Linked DNA regions of Mytilus edulis. The protein of the gene in region 1 interacts with the protein of each later gene in a pairwise test. Links are inferred from orthologs where the notes say so. Each region holds a gene or a part of one and is shown on either strand. Other genes may lie near its edges.

What was found.
Region 2: the proteins of peroxisomal membrane protein PEX13-like (region 1) and peroxisomal membrane protein PEX14-like interact in a two-hybrid assay, tested with the Homo sapiens proteins (2 studies listed by BioGRID and IntAct, with this or other methods). The link is inferred for Mytilus edulis from reciprocal best matches to the Homo sapiens genes PEX13 and PEX14.

Annotation. Positions count from the first base shown.
Region 1 is NC_092344.1:115,003,660-115,011,257, reverse strand, and holds the start of peroxisomal membrane protein PEX13-like, read left to right. Parts: upstream 1-4,404; 5' UTR 4,405-4,476; coding exon 4,477-4,559; intron 4,560-7,598. UniProt on the Homo sapiens protein: Component of the PEX13-PEX14 docking complex, a translocon channel that specifically mediates the import of peroxisomal cargo proteins bound to PEX5 receptor.
Region 2 is NC_092356.1:316,899-325,550, reverse strand, and holds the start of peroxisomal membrane protein PEX14-like, read right to left. Parts: upstream 3,579-8,652; 5' UTR 3,491-3,578; coding exon 3,467-3,490; intron 1,123-3,466; exon of another isoform or gene 1,108-1,122; coding exon of another isoform or gene 1,087-1,107; intron 1-1,086. Other genes in the region: uncharacterized protein, read left to right, coding at 6,033-6,097, 7,986-8,119. UniProt on the Homo sapiens protein: Component of the PEX13-PEX14 docking complex, a translocon channel that specifically mediates the import of peroxisomal cargo proteins bound to PEX5 receptor.

The DNA.
Region 1 (7,598 bases):
ACATAATTTTCACAGCCAAAACTTTGTTTAGATATTAAAAAATGATCACTTCCCAAAATAAACATTTTTTAGGCTAACATAACCGTAAATATATGTCATTACCCTTCTTCTTCCAGGTAAGGAACCGAATTCAATATTTGAATGTATGAGGTACCGCGAAAACTATACGCAATGTCGACAACACAGAAAGTTTTCTCTTGGCTATTTACAGGTTAAAACGTTCTCTCTATATATGTTACAGTGAATTTGTATAATCAGGGATTATGTAGAATCCCTGATTTTTCAGGGATTATATAGAATCACTAAAAACATTAGTGATTATATAGATTCCCTGAAAATGACCAGTGATTTTAGATAATCACTGATAATTTTAATTAGTATTCTACAAATTCCCTAATATGATTTCAGGGATTCTCAATAATCAAAAGCTTCAAAGATGATATCTCAAACCAATTACACTAGTGGTTCCAGCAAGGATTTATATAGTCTTACTATACAAATCCTTGGTTCCAGGAAAGGGAGATCCCAAAAAACTAATGGTCAATATTCACGAAAAGGCTGAAGAAGGATATCGCCTTGCTATATAGCATGGAATCCTGCTCGGATCCTTAATACAAGAAATCAGTTTGAGGTTGCTGATTACCCTTCATTGGTACAATATGTACCTTCAGATGTTTGTGCTGAAAACACTTTTTCTCTGAGAAGTGCCGTAAAATATCATTTGATTTGGGGGACAAGGTTTTTTTTTAATGTTGATATCGTAGTAAAAACAGATGTGAATTTGATAGATATGCCTGAAGAGAATCAGGGCAAATGTGTAATAGTCGATGCCATTCAAATTTAGTTTGTAAATAAAATGTTTAATATTAAAATATTATACATAACATTAACATTTATTAAAACAACTGTACGCATAAAAATAGTTTTAATGACAGTTTCATTTTAAATTATTTCATATTCTCAACCTAAAAACAATTGCTAAAACAATACGATAAAAAGAATAATCATTATGCAATTTAATATTTTCATACTGACTTCATCAACCTGCCCGTGTGGGCTCGCTTGATATTATTATTACTAATAAAGTCGTCAATTATTCCATATATATTTTGCTCATCATTCAATTATATATATATATATTGTGCTTATCATTTGATTATTTTGTGTATAACATTTCAATATTTTTGTGTCTTTCATATTAATAAATTATGCCTAACGTTTAACAATAGTAAGGTTATTATTATGATATATTAAGGTAAACTTTTAAGATATTTCAATATGTTATATATTTTAGTATCATTGTAATGCAGGAAAAGTGGGAAGAATCGCTGTTCTGTCAGGTTGTCTCCCCTTTCCCTCCACAACGTTAAGTATATTAAAATCGAGGGACTGCCATCTTTCACTTGGGGACTATCCTCGCTCGCTTATACGGGTATTCTAACTTCTTTCGGAGAATCTGGGGAATACTAGCTCGCTCATATTCAGGTCTATGTTATGCCTTCTTCTGGCGTGTCCCTCATCTCGGACACTTGTACTTTCGAGGCCTGGCGCTGGTGAATAAAATACAATGATGTTTCAGCAATTATTTATTCCAAACAGTTATCTACATTTAAGTGTGATATTGTGATCTGTGATTTAAATAGTAAACTTAGTTTTAACTTATATATATTAATGAAAATCTTTTATAAATTTAAGTTAAGTTTTAAATATCAAAGTTATTAAATCAGAAGATAAATTCTTACTTTAAAATTCATTTGAAAATGGTTTATACTTTAACAATTTACATACCTGGTGAATAAAATACAATGATGTTTCAATTATTTATTCCAAACAGTTATCTACATTTAAGTGTGATATTGTGATGTTGGGAGGTTGCGGTCTTCCCTTTTTAACCCCAACATCACGTGCTGATTGGAATTATACTGACCGACTTTAGAAACGCAACACTAGATTAATTTTGTGTTATTTTTTAATGAATGTGTCACCGTCAAAAGCGATGACTGCCTGTTACAAACGCCAAAATGATTGTCAGAAAGGTCAACAAATTCTGTCTGACATGTTTTGGGTACTGATTTACACCTTCTGATTTTGCATTTGTTCAACCCATTTATTGGTTTTGGCTGTTATGCGGTTGGAACTTGATGGCTTTAAAGGTTTTCTTCAGTCGATTCTTTGGCAATTCAGTTGATGGGAAACATTTATGGCATGAATCTGTACTCAATGTCACTCGGCAATTTGAATAGCATTTGACGTTGCGGCCGTAAACATGTCTGGCAAATGACGTTGCGAAATCAACTTCGGTTGATGTTTCATTGTCACTACTCGTTGGTCTGTTCATTGATGGCCAGCAACAAATCTTGTCTACTTGTATCGTTGTCGGAAGGACAGTAAGAGGAGTTTCTGAAGTCATACAGAATGGTTGCAGCACGTTTATGTTTTCATGTTTGCAGTTCAAGAACCACAGTTAAGTCAGATTTTCATTTTTTGTAATGAGAAAGAAGTATGATAAGCACGAAAAGAAGTAATAAGAGAATCAAACAAGATTTGGTAAAAAAATCAACAAAATGAGTGTTGCGTTTCTAAAGTCGTTCAGTATATTTTATTCACCTATGAAATTTTAGCGTCAATTTTGAATTTTCTAAAGGTACGTTTTATTGGTCAACTGTTCTCTTTTTATGTTATAGATTTATATGATTGACATATGTTGTATTTAGTTACGTAAAAGCAATTAAAGGATTATCAAAATTATCAAAATCTTTGCTTACTTTACAGAATTATTAATTGGACAATAGAAACACTTTAGGTTTATTTTCCTACGGCAAATTACAAACATTTTTATTCTTTTAAAAGATGACAGTTTATTTAACTTATTTCTCAACGTCAGATTAATAGCTATGATCAAAAGAACTCTAGAAATGAGATTAACTATATTATTTACAAAAAGACGAAACTATTTATAACTTAACCTTACGTCACCTACTTTGTCTTAGAGCTTAAGCAATGCAATAAAATTCCATTTTATTTATTTATTAGTTTATTTCTCTAAGTTTACTTTATTTTATTTTCCTTTTCCAACATACAATTTTCCATCATTATATCATTTCAGTTATTCTGTATAATCCCTGACGTTTTTTCTAGTGATTATACATAATCCCTGAAAGTTTTAGTGATTATATATAATCCCTAAACTAACCAGTGATTATTCATAATCCCTGAAAATTTTAAGGATTCTACATAACCCCTGATTATACAAATTCACTGTAACATATATACACAATTAAAATTATGTACAGGATATTACTGTGTTATTTAAGCAGAGCATGCCTTTAGGGCAGCTCTGATTCCTTCAACTGTGTCATCTGATGTCGCTGATGTTGGCAGTTGGTTCAAGTGTCTCTGATGGTCCTAGGCCTGAGAAAGGATTGGTCCAAGGAGTATGTTGTAGCCCTTTCTTGAAAGAAGCGGTTTTTACCTCTGGTCCGGCTATCGTTTGGCGTCAGATATTGGTGCCGATCTATGTCTATTAGATCATGTGGAATTTTAAACAGCATACATATTCTATTTTGTTTCCTGCGGTCTTCAAAGCTTAATTTTCCATTTTAAAGATGTTACCGTTTTTGTTACACAGCCAGGTGTGCGGTCTGTGTAGTTGTTGTTTACGAATCTGGCTGCTCTTTCTGTACTTGTTCGATTGTTTTTACTTTAGCCTGTTTTGTAGGGTCTCATACCGTGCAAGCATATTCAACTGAAGGTCTTACTATTGTTGAATATGTTACTGCTTTAATCGGTTTAGTGCAATCTTTTATGTTACGTCGTACCTAACCCATACCTAAAACTAATACACATCTAACTCTAAAATCTAACACTAACCTAGAACAAGGAATTGTATATTTACACAATTCCTTGCCAGAACCACAGGAAATTTGTTTTCCCTATATACCTCTATATAACAAGGTATATAGGCTACTCACAGAGTTACTTTCAAGAGGTGTGCCTGACACAAAGGTTTTATATATATACTAATATGCGAAAACTGTTGTTTCTTATTTGTGTTTGTAACTATGTGTTGTTTATTATATTTGTAAAAGAATATTATATTACAATGATATTATATTATGCTCCTTGTGAGCCCATTTTATTGAAATAAAGCATCTTCTTCTTTTTCTTCTATAGGGAAAACAATTTCTGAGACAAGTGCCTGTGCCTAGAACATTCCCTAACCAGCTATCCTAACCATAACCAAGATTGAAGAATGAACCCTAACTCTTAATTATAGGGACTCTTAAAGTAAAATAAATTAATTTGAACGTATTTGTCTGAATCGAAAAAAAAATTGGCATAATATATATATATTTTCTGGTATTTAGATCGTTTTATTTTCCGGATTTGTTTCACTTCATATCCGTCATTGACTTATTTTTACATTTCACAGTCCCAAAATTATCATCTCAACCACCCGTTTCAACCCATGGGGGAATGGCAGCACCTCCTAAACCCTGGGAAATTGCAGGTGTAAATCAACAAAATGCTGGAAGTATTCCTTTAAATAATATGTCAGGGTAAGTCCATGTCTAACTGTTATTTCAAACATTTGTTGTACAATCTTGCATCCTACATTTTGACCGAAAAACAACTCTTATCTATCAATCGAGTCACAAACATTTTCGTATATCATCTTCTTCTTCTATACATTTAACATGTTAAATATTCTGACATTGTGATGTTTATGATCCCATTATTGTTTTTCCTTTAAAACTTAAAAATTACAATTTAGAATTACTCAGCCTCCGCCCTTCTGTTGAGTGTTGTGCAAGACCAAGGATTTGTTTAGGCCAGAAATTAGGGTTGTAATGTAGATACCTTCATAATGAATAATGGTAAAAATTCTTGCCAAATGAAGTTAACGGTAATTTTTGGTTCATGATGATAAAATGTACACTTTCTTTTAGACGATAAAAAAATCTACTGATTTTAACGCATCACGTTTCCAAAAATGCTGGTAAAATAAACCTCTGACGAATCAGGTTAATATTTTAATCAATTCAACCCCTGACGGTAAAGGGAATAACTACCCTCTTGTATAGACTATATACAATCTGTGGGTTGTGGAAGATTCCATTCTCATTAATTTGTTACTTTGATGATATATTCCTAGGCCTTCAGCAACAAGGTAGGAACTTCAAGTTTATCTTGTGAATCCCCTGGTTCATTTGATAATTCACACACAGGGATAAACCTATTTGAGATAGTTGTACCTTTTAGGGGTTTGTAAACAACCAATTGTGCAATAAACTGAATAATTATTAAAAAAAAAAGGAACTTCAATTTTGTTCTTGGACATGAACATGTAGGTTAACCTATGTAGGCACAGCGACAGAAGAGGCAGGAATAATTAACGAGTTCTGGGTTTAATCTAGTCCAAATATATTTATGATGTCTTAATTTAGAGCCTAACAGCTTTAAGTCAAATATAATAGCCTTTCTAGACATTTATTGGTATTATACCTCAAAACATATAAAATGTAACCTGCCTTATCCAACACCTGAGTATTCCAACATCCTGCTTTAATCGACACATTTTCATGGTCCCATAATATGCCTATCATTGTAGAAAAAACCTGAGTATTCCGACACCCTGCTTAATCAGACATTATTTTCTGGTCCCTCAGTGTGTCGGATAACACAGGTTGTACTGTACATTATATCCCAATTTTAATGATGGAATTTATAAGAATGTTTGCACCATGATCATCATTATGATAAAATATTAAAAAAAAAATTTTTTATCACTGCATAAAGATCGATACCTGATTTTGGATATAATAACCATAACTAGTAATAGTGCCCATTTATGAGGACCATCCCCAACCTGTGAAACTTTTTAGTTTTGGCCTAACGATTGTCCTGTCAAATATGAAAAATGCTAAAATGTCTCCATTTTTGGAAGGGTTACTGCAGATTTGGTACCAAGGGTTATAATAACATTTTATTTATAATGAATACATGTATAAGAAAAGAAAATTAAACTAAATAAATGATTTTAAGAGTAAGTAAACTTGACCAGACTGACATTGAATTTACCCTTACTATTGTTTTGACCAACATGAAATTACAATCAACTTTTTTATACGACCGAAAATTTTTGCAGACGTATATTGGTATCACGTCATAGTCGTCAGCGTCGTTCGAAAACGAATGGTTTCCGGTTAATAACTAGTATACGCTAATAGAAATCAGTAAAATTTTAACACAATGTTTATAACCACAAAAGGTAGCTTGGGATTGATTTTGGGGGTTATGGTCCCTAAGGTTAAGGAATTAGGGACCCAAAGGGGCCTAAAACAAGCATTTATCTATTGTCAGTACAAACAGTTGTGTATAAGTATTTCAATTGTTCTGAAATTGTACCACAATGTGAAATTGTACCACAATGTTTAATACCATACATAGAAGGTTGGGATATATTTTGTGGGTTATGGGGAAAACAGTCGTAAGAAAAAACAAGCATTTTTTTAGTTTCAAGACTATAAATTGGAGTTGTCTTTCTTTGTCCAGAATGGTTGTTGAATCACCTAAAACTAAAATGTAATGCTTTATGAAATCTTCTTTGAAAATTGGAGTTATCTTTCTTTGTTCAGAATAGTAGTTGCTATATACAATATACAATGCATTATTCACTTTACTACCAACTGATAAATTAAAGCAGTGATTACAAGCACTTTGATTACCATTCTAGGGTTATGCCCCTTTACAAATGGAAAAATTGAAGAATTATTTAGTTTCTGTTCTCTTAACTTAAGTTTGTCTCAACTAAATTTAATAAAATGGGTATCTAATGCTTATTACCTCTAAACTCAGTTTAAGTTCAATTTTTGGCAGTTTCACTTTTACAGTTCTTGAGTTATTTCCCTTTATAACATTACAAACATGTATATGCTAGCAGGGGCATCATCTGTGTCCATTTGGACACATTCCCCATTTATTTTTTTAAGAAGTTACTATTGATTAATATTAAAGTCATATGAAACCTCAAATTAAAAAAAAATATGCATATGTTTTTTAAAACTAAATGGATAGTTTTCATTATACAACTTATGTACATATACTTTTTTCTGAGGAAAATTCTTTAATTTGTCCACATTTAGAAGAAGTTTACATATTTGTAATTGCTTGCTGCCAGGGCAGGAAGCAATTCGCCGACATATTTTCCGTATGCATAGTGACCTAAGCTTGACCCTCCTCGTAAAAATCCGGTGATAGCAATACGCATGAATCCGTCATTAAAATTAACAATTACCTGATTGTATATGTTAAACACGTGCTAAATACCCATGCTTTTTGTTGATTATTTACTATAAGGTGACAATCGGTAAACTTCGGCTTCAAAACACGGCATTTAATGAGTAGCCATATTTGTTAAATCATAACAGACAGATTATACGATATATTTGCGTAAAAAATGATAAATTCGTGCACAGAGAACTAAGTTTATGATTTATACATGCATTGGTTCAAGAATTGGATGAACATTATTTTTCACCAGTCACTCGTTTCTTATGACTTTAATTTTAACCATGACTGAATGACATTTTATATTT
Region 2 (8,652 bases), on another chromosome or scaffold:
GTTTGTTATTTGTAAAATTATTTCATTTATAGTGGGCTCTTAGGGGAACTCTTGAGACTTTGTGCAGAAACTAAATGCATAGCCTTGATAAGAAATTTCTTAATTAAATTCATACATTTTTGATTAACCATGGTAAAGCAATGAGACGAGGCTATTAAGGGATAAACTTAGCTGTAATAACAAGGATTAGTTATTAAAGGAATGTAACTTATTATATAAGACACTTGGGAATTACTGAGAAACTTGCGCAGAACCTCATTACATGCTCTGGTCATTATTTCTTACAATAAATTAAAATACATTGTAATTAAGCATGATCTGTGTCTGAGCAAATCCTTTGAAGTGATATAGAGAAGCTGTGATAACACCCTTTAGTTATTAAAAGGCATATTTTTTTCTGTGATAACATATAAGTATACATATAGACAAAAGCAATATCAATAGAACTTTTACATAGTTTAATGAAACTAATGATGTATATTGTCCCTTTGAAACATGTAACATACATATGTTATCACAGTTCTTTGATTTTTTAGTCTACAATAAAAAATGTATGTTATTTTCCTGTAATAACCCTATAGAGTTATATCCCTGACTGATGTTTGTTCGAAATCCTAGAGCCATTTCTTCTTTTAATTTTTTTTTCTCAGAAAGTTAAAAGTCAGACACCTCCCAAATTCAATCTTTATCCAATGTTTGGTAATAAGCATTTTGTAAAATATTTATTCAAGGCAAACTACAGTGATATTGTTGTCTTTTTTCAAAACTACCTCTACCGTTTTTTACTGGGAAAAATGCATATTTTTTATTGAAATTGGGAAATTTGTATATTTTATTCTCAACACATCTCCGATTTTTTGCTGACCTTTGCTGTCTTTTTGGCACTGTTTTTTCATGTATATTTTGGCTGTCAGACATTTTCAACCTGAAAGGTACTTTCGGAGAGGGGAAAGAAACAGAAGCAATGATGGTACTTAATGCATTGAAAACTACATGTGTTACAAACACCATGATGATTCTGATCAGAAAACCGGATTTCAAACGTGCTTTCTAATAGCAAAATAATAACATGAATACGATATTTACCAACATTACTACCAATGCCATCACTGTTTGGAGAAAATGTAAAAGTTTTGATGAGGAATTTTAAGCCATTTTTTTTTTGTAATTGGGAATTTTCTCATGGGGAAAAGGCCGAATTTCGGCTGTAATTTGAGGCAAACAATATCACTGAACTAAAGTTAGTGAACTGGGAATAAATATTTTATTGCACCACAGGTAAATTATGATATTGTGATTGTTTTAAGGCCATCGCATGGTAACCCCTTATGGCCATCACATGGTAACCCCTTATGGCCATCACATGGTAACCCCTTATGGATCCATAGGGTTTAAGGCCATCACATGGTAACCCCTTATGGATCCATATGGGACAATACATGTATCACTAAATTGATGTGCCTCCGATTGAAGAACACAAAAGTTGTTTGTAAATTTACAAAAAATCTCTGTGTAGTGATATTGGACATGTTTCAATTTTTAACAAATGACTGAGCTTGACCATTTGTGTTGATCTGTAAAGTATAGGACCTTAGAATAAATGTGTAAAAACTATGGAGTTATTATTATATATGTATTCAAAGTATTAAATTTTCAGCATGTTCAGACATTGTGTGAAAAAAGGGACTTTTTACTATGAAGAGTCGCTTCACGAAAGGATTGTCAGGGTATGCTAATTTACCGAAAAATGAATCACTCTTCATACCCCAAAAATTTATCCACACATGTGAAAATGTCTCAGCTTCGAAACAAGCCATCATGGAAGCAGGACAAGTCGCCCCACTGGCAAGTCGCCCCACACCTAATCGCCCCACTTTTTCACCAACTCGCCCCACTTTGAAAAAAACCGCCCCAACCTGGATCACCAACTCGCCCCACTTTTAAAAAAATCGCCCCACATGTGAAATTGGTTAAATCATGTTTAATATTACTCCTGCCAACTCGCCCCACTTAATGGAAAACGGTAATATTTAGATTAATATAAAATTAAAAATAAAAACTCGCCCCACTTAAATGAAAACTAATCTACACAGAATACAAACAAACCGAAAAAAGCCAACACACATTTCAGTTTAATTATTTTATTCGTAAGCGGGGCTAGTTGGTAGCCTTTAACTCTATTCATACATGTACTATTCATAAGTGGGGCTAGTTGACATTCACGTTACCGAAATATTAACTCACTTCTTACTGCTATATTAAAAAAAAAAGGAATAATATAAGAAGTTTCTATAAGGTTTTCAATGGGATAACATCCGTTTCCATAAGTGGGGCGAGTTGGCCGGAGTAATATTCACGGAATTTAAGTTATATACAACGGGATAACATCTGTAAGGCGAGTTGGCTTTACTAAATTCATCCTGGTTAATAATATGTTAATCTAGATTTTATCGTTTTCCATTCAGTGGGGCGAGTTTTCAGGAGTAATATTAACGGGATTTAACACATTTCACAAGTGGGGCGATTTTTTAAAAAGTGGGGCGATTTGGTAATCCAGGTTGGGGCGTTTTTTTTAAAGTGGGGCGAGTTGGTGAAAAAGTGGGGCGATTAGGTGTGGGGCGACTTGCCAGTGGGGCGACTTGTCATGGATTCAGCCATCATATACAAGTTTACGATATTGGCTGAGCTAGAGAAGAAGACGTTACCATTACGGCCTGTGGAGAAACAATTGCGCATATTGCCCCATATACATGTACAAGATGTATGGGATTAATAAATTTAATATGGGATTAATAAATTTAATATGGGATTCAAGGCATGTAATCTAATGTTAATTGTATTTCATTGTTGTTGTTTTTAAACACAGCATATATATTTTAAAGTACAGTGTTTGATAAGTTCTATATAAAGTTCACTACTGACCCTCTACAGACAAAAGAGTGTGGGTAAAATCCCCACTTCTATGGAGTTTACTTACCCTCTTAAGACTCTATGGATCCATGGGCATGGGCTGCAGTTATCAGCATGGTCAGTAGCAAACATGTAACTTATACAATGTAATGTCATCACTCAGAGAAAATTTATTTTTGTATCGGACAAAATGGTAAAATAAAAAAATTGAAGCTACAATTCAAAAATTTTATCAACTACATGTTTTGGGCTCGGACAAAATTTCTGAATCGACGTCGAAGTAAGGGACGACATCAAAAGTGAATTAAGTTTTTTATCCTTCATTGAACTTTTGAGGTCGTCCCTAACATGCCTAAGGCGTCAAAGAAAAAAAACTAGAACTATGCTTGGACTTTGAACTTTAAAAAAACGACAAGAGTCAACGAAGAGGGAGGTTTTCAGGGCTTTTAAAACATTAATAAAACGTAGATTTATTCAAACAATTTATCTTGTCTTCGTATGTAACTGACAACACATAACTGTGTCAAACATAAGTGTGGGAAAGAAAAATAGTAACCTTTCTATTTGTTTCGTCTGTCATGATTTAAACTGGATCTTTTAAATTCTACAGACACAAAATGTCACATATTTTGAACCAGGAACCAGATCTGTAATAAACTACCTAAAACCCTGTATTAATTTTGGGAAAATTTAATACATTGATTTTGATCCCGATGTAGGTGTAGATCTTTAATCCTGTTCTTATAAGACTAATGAAATTAATTATTTAACGAAGGTTACTTATTTAACAATGACATGTTGATCTTCTCTGAGGCCTTCGAAAATCATAAATACAAATAGAAAAAAAAGAAAGATACAAACAAAATAAAATACATGTAATACCGTACGTTTAACTATATACAGATGTATATAACAGCTTAAATATCGATTAACCCATATGCTTTCAATAATTTAAAAAAAAAACGAAAAAAAAAAACAGATTCAGCGGCATGCACTTTTCACAAAAAAATTCTTAAGAGTAAAAATACATACTCATTATAGCATAACTTGCTTGCAACTCAAACTTAAAAAAAAAGGTTTTAATTGTAAGATTATTTGTGAGAGTTGCTGGTTTATTTATTCTGTATAGTTGAAAAAAAAGTTTGAACATTTAATCCTAAATGAATATAAATTATTTATTTCTTAAATTATATCTATAAAGTTATTCTCAATCCTTGTACTCAGACTAGCATATTTAATTGTTCTCGGTTTAAGAAAAAAAAAAAACGAATTAGGTCTTGATACACGAACATGATGAAGAAGCCTTAATTAGTTTAAACAGTATCTAATACTGAAAAATACAACAGCAAAGTATAGCAATCTTACATAAAATTCAAATATAGGATTCAGTAAGAAGTTTGGAGAAAGCTTTTATTAACCAGCCTCCCTATGCTACTTGAGCGAATACTGATTATAAAGATCAGTATATATATGTTGCACTTTATAAATACAGCTGTTTCTCAAATCACTCCTCTTTTGGGAATATATAAACATTCATAGTTTTTTTTCACGTACTGGTTCCCAGATATGATGTCTATATGTTTCATCTTGTAGAAAAATAACTTGGGAATGTTACCAGTAGATACACAAATGCATAACCGTCAAATTGAAATCTGTGGTCCACCGGAAGTCAAGTATAGGAGTAGCACAAACTTTTAGTGTAAAGTTAAACTCTTAGAAGTTCAGGGCATATATACACGTTGAAAATATGCCGCACAGCCCTATAGTTTGACCTTTGAAAAAATAGTAGTGCATATAAACCTTTATCCTATGATATTATTTTTATCAAAAATTCATAGTTAAAGTGGAACAGTCTTAGCCGTAAACGGAGTTCCTAAGGGAAATTACATAGTAAAAGTGGAACAGTCTTAGCCGTAAACGGAGTTCCTAAGGGAAATTACATAGTAAAAGTGGAACAGTCTTAGCCGTAAACGGAGTTCCTAAGGGAAATTACATAGTTAATATTTACAGAAATGCAACCTATAAGCAGTAAATTTATCAGATAGATAATCACTATTACTGAACTAGTATATATATTTGTTTAGAGGCCAGCCGAAGGTCGCCTCCGGGTGCGGGAATTTCTCGCTGCATTGAAGACCTGTTGGTGACCTCCTGCTGTTGTCTGTTTTATGGTCGGGTTGTTGTGTCTTTGACACATTCCCCATTTCCATTCTCAATTTTCATGTCCTAAGTCAGGAACCTGATATTCAGTAGTTGTCGTTTGTTGATGGGGTTCATAAGTGTTTCCCGTTTTTTTAATAGATTAAACTGTTGGTTTTCCCGTCTGTATAGTTTTAAACTTGTCATTTCTATGCCCTTTATAGCTTGTTGTTCGGTGTGATCCTAGGCTCCTTGTTGGAGACCATACTTTGACCTATATGTGTTTTTTTTCTATTACAAGTTGGGACTTGGTTGGAGAGATGTCTCATTACCACTCAGTCATACCACATCTTCATATATTTATTTAAACACTAAGAAAGCTTGCAAATGTTGTATCTTAGGCTAGCAAATATAGTCATCCACACAAGTTTTATTATAAAAGATTAAACTTAACTAAGTTTGAAGAAGAAAAAAATGACGAAGAAAAAAATTGTAAATTGCTTTCATATAGCAGCCCTAAAATAAAATCGATGTAAAGAATTTAACATAAATACACAAAATTTTAAACAATAAAAAATACCACTCAACTAAGAAGTAGCAATAAAAAGAATAAGCTGACGTTAATTTAGATTTTTTTAGGAAACGAAGGCTGCACCGCAGTGTTGTTATGCACTAGAAGTAAAACTTCAATTGGTATTAATTGTTCAAATCTAAACCATGTAAACGAAGAAACAACACGACAACTTTTCTAGATAGTTTGGCTACCCCTGATTTCTTCTTCAATTTACTCTTTGCTTTATAAAAAACACAACGTCACAGTGAACTCGTTTACTACGTTTGACTGTGTCCCGTGCCAACAACGTTAGAAACAGACAACACAACAGGACAGAGAAAGCAGCCATGTAATGTAGGTGTAGAGCGAGAGACAAGACACAAACACAATGTTCTATACTGTGTAGAGCGACAGACAAGACACAAACACAATGTTCTGTACTCTGGACAATGTTCTTATTCCTGATCTCTATCAAATTAAAAAGGAATTTGATCTGTAAGTACATTGTATTACATCATTGTTAGCTTTTATGACCCGATTAGTTGTTTATACATGTACTGTGATAAAAGTAGATCCAGAAAAGACTTTCGGTCATACAAAATAAATAGAGTGTAATTGCCATGTGTAACCTTTCTATAAAACTTACACAATGTTTTGTATGCTTCTATTAGCCTAATAATGTAATAATGTAAGCTTTGAATTTTGGAAAAATTAGTTTCTTTATAATGTGAAAAAAATATAAACGGACAATTTTAGAAAGGTTTGTTATCAATCATGTCAGTACATGAGGACATATCTTATATAAAAGGATAACCGTAAAAAGATTTTTACTCCTGTTTAGTACTCAGGGTTTTCAATAAGTTTTGAAATAACTGATTGAAGTTGATATGTAGCAGAGCAAGCGCGGGGTCCGGGTGCCGCTCAGGCCCCCGGCCAGGTCGAAGGCGAAGCCACGTGGAGGTTTCAGGGGGGCAACGTCCCCCGGAAGCTCATGGGTTTTAAGGAATAGGTGATAGATCAAATTAATCCAAAATAACTTGTAATGTTGGCATTTTTTTCAATGGTGTAGCTTTGGTGAGTTATAAGAAAGCATAAAAAAGTTTCGAAAATGTGTAGTACAAGGACTAAATCATAAATTTCAATCCTCTTGGTTCAGTGTCTTTTCCTGCAAGACACTGACTGTGTCTGTCACAAGAAAAAATATTATTATATTTCATGAATAAGTATTATAATTTATCATAGGCTGCACCCATACATCATACCATATTTGCATTTTGACTAAGATGTTTTTTATGTGTAACAGTATAAAAATTTACATTCTAATTAATATTTTTATGAGAATCAATGAGAAATACATGGCTTATCTCCACTGACAATAAAAAAATCTACTCTTGTATTTTGAGGGATAAAAGTTACATGTATCATGCTTAACACTTTGGTATTTTCAATAAGTAAAGTTCTTTGTAGTTTAAGTTACTTAGTAATTTTTCTCATTGTCCCTGTATTGAGTAATTAAATACAAATATAATTATATCAATCTGATTTATTTGATTCAATTAAAACATGTTGTTATATATCATTTTCATTTTGTTCATCATCATCCTCATCTCCACCATCAATGTCAAAGTCAAGATACATTTTTTTTATTGCAGCCTGCACTACAAGCCTTACCTCCTCTATGTCACTTAAACTTGAAAGAGCAACAGGCTCTGTCTGTACTGACATGTCTTGTACTTCAGTTATATTTGGAATAGGATTTTGTTGGTTTATTATTCTACAATTTTGTTTAACTGCAAGTTTCCTCCTGTTTTTAGTTCCTATTGGATTTTTTTAGACTGTCCATATCAGGGCCATTTATACAAACATGCATACAGGATTGGATCATTTATAAGATAATCGAATTCTAAGTCTCTACATTTTTTTCTTTTTTATTTAAAAAAAGAAGGACCATGGAACAGGTATACATATGATTTATGGTAAAAGTAATTAGTCTGCTTTTAAGAGGCTTTATCACTTAAAAACAAGAAAATGAAAATCACTCAATGAAAATAATGTGATGTCTGCTTTTTACGAGACAAGACATTGCCAAGAAGGCCAATAAACCAAAAAAGATGTACATTCAATATATGTAGAAAAAAAACGATGAAGATCAGAGAAATGACAACTATTGGCGAAATTCCCGAGTTTGTATAAATGACTAACTTATATGCAGCTATATATATTGGGTATAACTAATGAAAGATCTGAGGCCAATGAGATAGAAACCCAATGAAAAAAAGAAACAAAAGTCACCTCAAAGTTCGTATACATTCTGAAGTACACGGAGTCGTTTTTCGTACAAACATTTGACTAAATACATAAATTATCACTCACATTATTTCAGCATTGATATAATAGAATGGTATACTCGACTTCTATTAGAACATGTAACACAACCTCGTCATCTTCGTGGTCTTCCCTTGTCATTGTTTGTGTTGAAAGATATGTCTGGTATGAAGAAACGGCTGAGAGAATCACGTATGTAAAATAGTATTTTTCGTGCATGTAAATAGTTTTTATATTCTTAGAAAACTAATTTACTCTAATAACTATTTAGCATTCAATCATTAAGGGCACATTCTCTATCCGCCACTTGTTTATAAGATATAAAAGAAAGGCGAAAGATAGGGACATTCAAACTATCTTCCTATATTATAAGTTGAAAATAAACTGACAACCACATGGGTAGAAAAGGAAAAAGACAGACAAACAGTAGTACACAAACCCAACATTGTAACCATAAAAACAGAGCAATACGAACGCCCGAAAATATGAAAGTGATCGAAGGTACCCCGGAACAATGGTTGTCTCAATTGTCTTGTTTCATATTTTTCATGTCGAGGCTTTTTATAGCTTGTTAAACGGTATGTTTTTTCCTCATTGTTGAAGGCCGTATGGTTGCCAGCATACCATTTATGTTTATGTGAAGTAGCATTATCTGTTCATTCCAGGAATTCCTGAGATTATAGATATTATTTCCTGTTTAAGTGACGTAGCATGCTCTGTTCATT